2 linked regions of the Oryctolagus cuniculus genome follow. The protein of the gene in region 2 binds, or shares a complex with, the protein of the main gene of each other region. Links are inferred from orthologs where the notes say so. Each region holds a gene or a part of one and is shown on either strand. Other genes may lie near its edges.

Region 1 (3,566 bases), on a different chromosome or scaffold from region 2:
CCAAGGAGAAAACTGTGACATCTACCAAATTTGACAGCATTTCAAGGATCTGCTTGCTCCAGTTTATTCAGGTGCCTTTCACTCTGGAAGCAGAGTTATGCCTGGTTAAAATGTTTGAGCTCAGGGCTCTGCTAAAGTAATCACCAAACCTCAAGCTCACAAAACATTGCAGTCTCGGTAAGAGGAGCTCCTAAATTTGAGGCCCTCTGATCCCACTGCTGTGAGCGCTGTGAGGGGAGCATTGAACCTTTCACCGGGTTTAGCTGACATGTGTAGGATCCTGGGCATGCTCTAGGTTTTCCGCATCACCCAGCTAATTCCCACAGGCCAGTGGAAGGAGGCTGAAAACGGAACGCTGGGAGCCTGGGATAGAGCAGTGCTTAGTGAGGGGTAAAGTCCACTTAAAACGCTGAGTATTTTCAGCATCATAGCAGGGCGAGTGGCCAAGATGAAATCTGTTGTTTTAAATCACGGGCTTTGAATGACAGGACTGTTTTCTGCTGCACTCCTTGATCTGTCTAACTGGTTTACCAGGAATTTTATTCCTTCTGATCACAATGGGCAAGGAATGGAGAAGTTTAGATAAGCCATTGGTGCCACCTGTGTGCACTGGTTTGCGGCCTGCTCTTCCATCTGAGGTGAGCCAGCACCACTGTCGCACGATCTCTTTGGGGTGGATATAGGGTTGTATGAGATTGCTGTCAAGGTTTGGATAAGGCTGTCATATAATGGGGGAGACATCTGGCCCCCTTATGCTCAAATCCGAGTTTGAATATCAGACTTTCCCTTTCCCATCCTCCTTCTCCTCCCCTGTCATCTCCATGTCTCCCCCTTCTCATTCTTCTTTTGAAAGATTTGTTTATTTATTTGAAAGGTGAGTGGGGGGAGAGAAAGAAAGAAGGAGAGAGAAAGAGAGGAGAAGGGGGGAGGGAGAGAGAGGGAGGGAGGGGAAGAGAAGGAGGGGGGAGAGGGGGGAGAGAGAGAGAGAAATATCTTATATATCTTATATCTGCTGGTTCCACTCCCCAGATGGCCACAATAGCCGGGGCTGGGCCAGGTTGAAGCCAGGAGCCAGGAGTGCCATCTGAATCTCCCACCTGGGTAACAGGAGCGCAGTGTCTGCTTCCCAGGTGCATTAGCAGAGAACTTGATGAGAAGCAGATAGCTAGGACTTGACTCAGTACTCTGATAGGGGATGTGGGTGACCCAAGGGGCTGCTTAATCCACTGGGCCACAACCCTCTCCCATCCAGCCCCTCTTCTTTTAAAATGTCTTCCGAACATTTATTGTTTTATATTCACAAACCCATTGGTGGTACTAACACTCGAATAACAGAGCTAGCACTCATTTAAAAAGTCTAATTTCATCACATAAAATCTTTTAGGTATATAGATAAGATTAGAGAGTGGGAAGATTTGACCTATGGCTTACCCAACACTATGGAAAGAACTGTTTTTGCAGAGTATCTTAGAAGTACAATGGGTATTTCAAAAAGTTCATGAAAAAATGGATTAAAAGGTAAATTTATTGTGGTACAAAAACTGACATTCACACATAATTTTTTTTAAATAATATACATCTTCCATGAATATATTAAGATCCTTTTTATATATGGTTTTCAACTTTTTTTGCACAAAATAAACTTCTCTTTTAATTCCACTTTCCATGAGAGTGCCCACAAATGCCACTGATCCTGCCATTGTTCCGATGAAAACTCTCAAAACTCATAGCTTATAGCCTAACATAAGGTCAGCCTCCTTAACACCTGGCCTTTGCCTACTGTTACTATTACCTGCTTTGCGTTCTTCACAAAACACAAACTACTTGCAGATCTGTCTTGTAACATCCCCTAATCACTTCTGTGGCTGAGTATACATTATTCCTCTCTGAGGAATAATCCACTCTCCCATCACTTGTCGGCAAGGCTGACATTCATTCTGGAGACATCCCAGAAACTCCCCTAGTGAGTCTGTTATGCCTCTCCTTTGTACTGAATCTTGGGTAAGCTTTGGCATCTTATTATAAAGTGAGCACTCACTCCATGCTGCTCTCCACAATTAGAGAGTGAGCTCCGTGAAGTCCTTGGCCTCACCTGGGTGTGGATCCATTGTTACTCAGCTGCAGGGCTGAGTCAAGGTGAGGTGAACTGAGCTGAAGCTTCCCCGGAGTTCATAGCGGCCAGCAGATTTTAAAGACACTAGGAGTCTCTTACCTTCTTTCCAGCTATGTAACCTCCTGCGGCTCCAAAGCTTTTGGTGAACGTGCCCATGAGCACATCAACATCTCCAGGGTCTATTCCAAAGAATTCGGAAACGCCCCGGCCGGTTGGGCCCACTGACCCAATACTGTGAGCTTCATCTACGTAGAGGTAAGCTTTGTATTTCTTCTTTAGGGCCACGATCTGGGGAAGCCGCACAATGGAACCTTCCATGCTATGGCAGAAGCAGAAATGCTCGTAACTAATGAATACTCTCCTGGGGTGCTCTGTCAATCTCCCAGTACATGCACTGGGATTCTAGGTCCTCTGCTAGTTTTTTTATTAAATTGCTCTTCAGTGATCATATGTTTTCCCTGATCCAAGGTAACTAATAGAGTAACTAACATGCACTATATTGGAGTGAAATGGACATTTTGAGATTTGATGACTGTTTACAGCCCTTGTCTCTTCTGCTGAGGAGCTGTGTGTTTTTTCTTCCTACTATTTGTTGAACCCTCTTACTTAGTGTAGGGTTAACAGTCGATCATTAAGCAAGCTGAAAGTAGATCTTTGTAAAAATTAAAAGTGGGAATGGGAGAGGGAAGAGAAGGGCTGGAGGGTGGGCAGGAGGGAGGTTAGGGTAGGAAGTTTCACTGTATTTCTAAATCTGTATACATGAAATACATGAAACTTATAGAACTTAAAAAAAAACAATAAAAATTGTTCTGCAGTGACCCACATTTTTCCATTTATGCATGAATTGTCAAATATTAAAAAGGAGGAATTGAAAACACACAAATATTAAAAGAAGGAATTAAAAACACACGAAAGAAAATTAGTTAGGACCTCAGAGTATTAACTAAGGCACAGTAAAAAGTCCTAAGGACCTCTTATTCAATACCTATTGAAAGTCAAAGGCTAATTTGAGGCACCTGGTGTTGTCTCCGCTTTCTACTCTTGGGGCAGTGAAACAAAGTTGAGCAACTATTTATGAAAACACAGATTTCTGGGTCTGTCCCCCAGAGTTTCTGATTGAGCAGGTCAGTGTTGAAATAGTACATTTTTTCCAGACTCCCCAGAGTTTCTGATCCCCGTCATCAGGGACAGCACTTTGAGGACTGCTCCTGTAGATGAACCCTTTTGCATTAACCCATAGTGTAAGTTGCCAAACACTTCAAGTCCTGTCTCAGGGGGAAAAATACAAAGTCAATAAATAAGTAAAATTAATAATATTTTATGGCACCTCTGGAAGTCAGCGGCTTTAAAATAACTGTTGGGGGTGGCGCTGTGGCACAGCGGGTTAAGGCCCCAACCTGCAGCTCCGGCATCACATACAGGCACCGGTTCAAGTCCACTTCCAATGCAGCTC
Region 2 (4,171 bases):
TTCCAGGCTCCTGGCTTTGGCCTGGCCCCATCCAGGCCATTGCAGCCATCTGGGGAGTGAACCAGAGATGGAAGATCTCTCTCTGTGTCTCTTTATATATAACTCTGCCTTTCAAATAAATAAATAAAATCTTCTAAAAATGAATAAATAACTAGAAGTCAAAGTGAAATACTATAAATTAAACAGTTGATAATAATCTAAGAGTAGAAATACTAATTTCCAGTTTTTTTAGATGTCATAGCTTTTGCTCACAGTGCACCAGCTGATAAATGCCTCTTGTGTGAAAGGACTTTTCTGAAAGCCACATTAACAGAAGACTGTCCAAGTGCTTGGGGCCCTGCCACCCAAGTCAGAGACTGGGAAGAAGCTCCTGGCTTAGACTGGTCCAGCCCGGCTATTGCAGCCTTTTGGGGAGTGAAATGACAGATGGAGGATCTCTCTGCTTCTCCTTCTAACTCTGTCTTCAAAGAAGCAAATAAATCTATTTTTAAAAATCATATTCTGGGGCCAGTGCTGTGGCTCAGTGGGTTAACACCCTGGCCTGAAGCACCAGCATCTCATATGGGTGCCGGTTCGAGACCCGGCTGCTCCACTTCCTGTCCAGCTCTCTGCTATGGCCTGGGAAAGCAGTAGAAGATGGTCCAAGTCCTTGGGCCCCTGCACCCACGTGGGAGACCTGGAAGAAGCTCCTGGTTCCTGATCAGCACAGCTGGGGCTGTTGCGGCCATCCGGGGAGTGAACCATCGGATGGAAGACCTCCCTCCCTCCCTCTCTTTCTCTCTCTGCCTCTCCTCTCTCTGTGTAACTCTTTCAAATAAATAAATAAATATTTTTTAAAAATCATAATATTCTATAGCACCAGATACCAGTGGTTGCATTTCTCACTAACCTAAAAAAATTTAATCACTTGGTCACATAAGACAGTGAGACATTAAAAAAGGCAAAAATCAATAGAGGTACTACATTTCACTTCATAATTTATTTCTCCAACCTCAAAAATGCCTTGGTATTTATAAGACTCTTATTACTGCACCATAATACGGAATAATTCTTACACGACTGACATTGTAGCATTTATCCATATGTCAACAAAAGCTTCTAAGTATAAAATCTACCAGAGACTCCAGAAGTGGGCTCAACATGCAACCTCTGATTCAAAGTGTTTCAATTTATTCCTCCATTGTTTAAATTAACTTCAAGATGATTTTGAATGAGTCAAGATTACATGCTTCCAGTGAGAAATTTCAAACACATACCCATTAAAGTACACATTTGACAAGGCCTGACCTCACAAGTCCTAACCTATAGACACTAGAATGAGACTAAACTCTAGCTTAAAAAAAAAAAAAAAAAAAACTGCAGGAAATCAGGCAGATTTTATATTCAAAGCATAAAACCAAAACATGTATTCTGGTTCTTAAATTCCAGATTTGGGAAGAAAGACCAAGAGTAATAAATAAATTGCTTTGTAAGCAGCCAAAATTCCTCAAAAGTGCTGGAACAAAAAAGAGCTTTGCGTACAACCTTCTGCTATTTAACCACAAACACACTTGATAGACTAGGAACAAAACTACCTCCACTCACTCACTCGCCGGAATGCAACAGTGCATTAACCAAGTTGTTCTAAAGCAAGCTACTCCAAGGAATCCACAAGGGAAAGCAGACAGCCTGGATGAGGGAAACAGGCTGTGTGAAGTATCTGTTTCATGCTGGAACCCGAAGTTTTTTTTAAAAAGTAACATCTTATCAATAGCATTTATTCTACAACAATATCCTCAAAAGATGCCAATCAAAGGATGCCAATAAAAACAACTGGAGACGGGGCAGGGGGGGGATCACAGACTTCAGGGAGTCTCCACAACCTTGAGTTATTAACTGGAATGTTGTGAAAGTTAGAGGAGGTAAGGTACAGCCAAAGTGCCTAGCACAGTTGCCTTGCTTATAGTAATCACTCAAGAGTTCTTCCTAAGAATTTGTTAACTACCCACCCAAATAGTTTCAAACCCTATCCACAGCTCACCACGAATTCCTTTTCAGGCATGGCTTCTACCTACGGTGCAAAGACTTCGTGGGAAAATTAAACACACACACACACACACACACACACACACACACACACTTTTTAAACTACCCATCTTGATGACCCAAACGGTGCAATAACTTAAGACTGCTTTCCAAAACTGGATTTCGGTGTCATGACCACAAATTCACAACGTGGTTAAAAAGCTGGCCAACCGGTTGGAATTCTCCTTGGGACCAAAGCCAGCTAAACCGGGGACAGTTAAAGGTCAAAGGCTTCCAAGCCGGGAGCGATCTGCTCCACTTAACACGGCCCCTGCCTCCCACAGAACCGGAGACTGAACCAAAGGCAGGCGCGGCCCCAGTGGAGGCGAGGACGCACCCGGTTAGACATCGCCCTCGGGGATTTCCTCCAGAAATAAAGACGCCTCTACCTTGGGTCCAGTGACTTCACGAGCAACCCCGGATCTCCAGGGTCCTCGCCTCCCTTCACCGCGCCAGCGCCGTCCTCAGCCCCGAGACCTGCAGTCTCCGTGCCCCGCAGCGCCGCCGCCGCCGCCGCCGCGCCCGGACCCAGGCCCCGGGCCCTGAGGATGCGGCCCGCGCCCCCACGCCGGCCCCCCGCGCCCGCCGCCCGGGCAGGATACTGAACACAGTGCGCTCCCAGGGCTCCAGCATGTAGAGCGCCGTGACCAGCAGGTACTGGTAGTAGAACCAGGACATCTGCTTCCAGGCCCGCGCCAGCGCCATCCCCGCCATGCGCCTCCGCGATGCAGCCGCACGTCAGTCTGTCCGGCCCGCCGCCCGCTCGCCGTCCTCCAGCCCCCGGCCTGCAGGCCCGCCCGCCCGCCACCCCGCGCCCATTGGCCCTCCCGGCCCTGCGCGTCAGCCGCGGCACGCCCAGCCCCGCGCGCGCCCGGGCGCCGCCGCGAGCCCCGCCCGCCGGCGCTCATTGGCCCTGCCGCCGCCACGCGTTGCCGGTCCCCTCCCCGGCGGCCCCCCGGGCCGCGCCCACGCGAGCCCGGAGAACGGTCTCCGCGCGGGCGCCAGGGCCCGGCCGTTGGTGCCCGCTGGGGTCCCGGTTCTGCGGCCTTGCGTCGCGGTAGTGCAGGCCGAAGAAATGTTTGCGGAACACCTGCTGTGCCTCGAGCATTCCTCTGGGCAGGGGGGTTGCAGGATTGGAAGAGAACGCCTTGGGAACACCTGCTGTGCCTCGGGCATTCCTCTGGGCAGGGGGGTTGCAGGATTGGAAGAGAACGCCTTGGGTCCCTCCGGCCGGGGACGCGCGTCAGCTACATGAATGCATGTATAGCCGGGACTAGTGCACGGAGGAGATTAGGGGGCTGCAAGAGGGTGGGGAGGCGAACGCCACAAAGTCAAGTCTAGAACGGCCTCCTTCCTTTCCCTCCCCAAAAACACGTCCAAACACACCAACACACCCCGCGCACCCCTTAACCTAAAGACAAGACGGTTCACCGCAGCTGTCTATCTGCCCACCTCTTAACGGTTACGGGTACCTGTGGACCATCAGAGTCAAGGCCAGGAGAACCACAGTGAGCTGTGTTCTACAGATGACAGCTTGAGATGGGTAAACTGGCTGATGATGCCTCGTGGAGATGCACTCGTGAACGTCAGGATTTCTCTACTGGCAGATGGACCAGCAACACTGGGCTTTCCCATAAGGAACTCCGTGCAGGGTTTGCAGGTGAAATAACACAGTCAAATCGCCTGCTGTTTAAGGGTTAAAAGCTTTCTAGGTTAGGGCCAGCATTGTGGCGCAGAGTCGGGGGAGGGTTAATCATCTGCTTGCCACACCTGCATCCCATATGGGCACCCATGCGAGGCCCAGCTGCTCCACTTCCAATCCAGCTCCTTGCTAATGCACCTGGGAAAGCAGTGGAAGATGGCCCAAGTGGCCCCTGCCACCCATGTGGAGAGCTGGGTGAAGCTCCTGGCTTCCAGGCCCCCAGGGTCATGGCCATTTGGTAAGTGAACCGCTGGATGCAAGATCTCTGTAACTTAAATGAAAAGCTTTCTAGGTCAAATAGCAGCCTACTGCTTCAGCTTTAAATTTTTCATGGTTAAGAACTCTACTCATTTACAGACAATCAAATGTTGTTTATGAGCTGGTTATTAGGGACTTGACAGACTG

Evidence for each region.
Region 1: SPTSSA (region 2) and SPTLC3 share a complex: the UniProt entries of both Homo sapiens proteins name them as parts of the serine palmitoyltransferase (SPT) complex. The link is inferred for Oryctolagus cuniculus from reciprocal best matches to the Homo sapiens genes SPTSSA and SPTLC3.

What each region holds. Positions count from the first base shown.
Region 1 is NC_091442.1:38,096,887-38,100,452, reverse strand, and holds part of SPTLC3 (serine palmitoyltransferase 3), read right to left. Parts: intron 2,433-3,566; coding exon 2,213-2,432; intron 1-2,212. UniProt on the Homo sapiens protein: Component of the serine palmitoyltransferase multisubunit enzyme (SPT) that catalyzes the initial and rate-limiting step in sphingolipid biosynthesis by condensing L-serine and activated acyl-CoA (most commonly palmitoyl-CoA) to form long-chain bases.
Region 2 is NC_091443.1:40,979,445-40,983,615, reverse strand, and holds the start of SPTSSA (serine palmitoyltransferase small subunit A), read right to left. Parts: upstream 2,844-4,171; 5' UTR 2,779-2,843; coding exon 2,667-2,778; intron 1-2,666. UniProt on the Homo sapiens protein: Component of the serine palmitoyltransferase multisubunit enzyme (SPT) that catalyzes the initial and rate-limiting step in sphingolipid biosynthesis by condensing L-serine and activated acyl-CoA (most commonly palmitoyl-CoA) to form long-chain bases.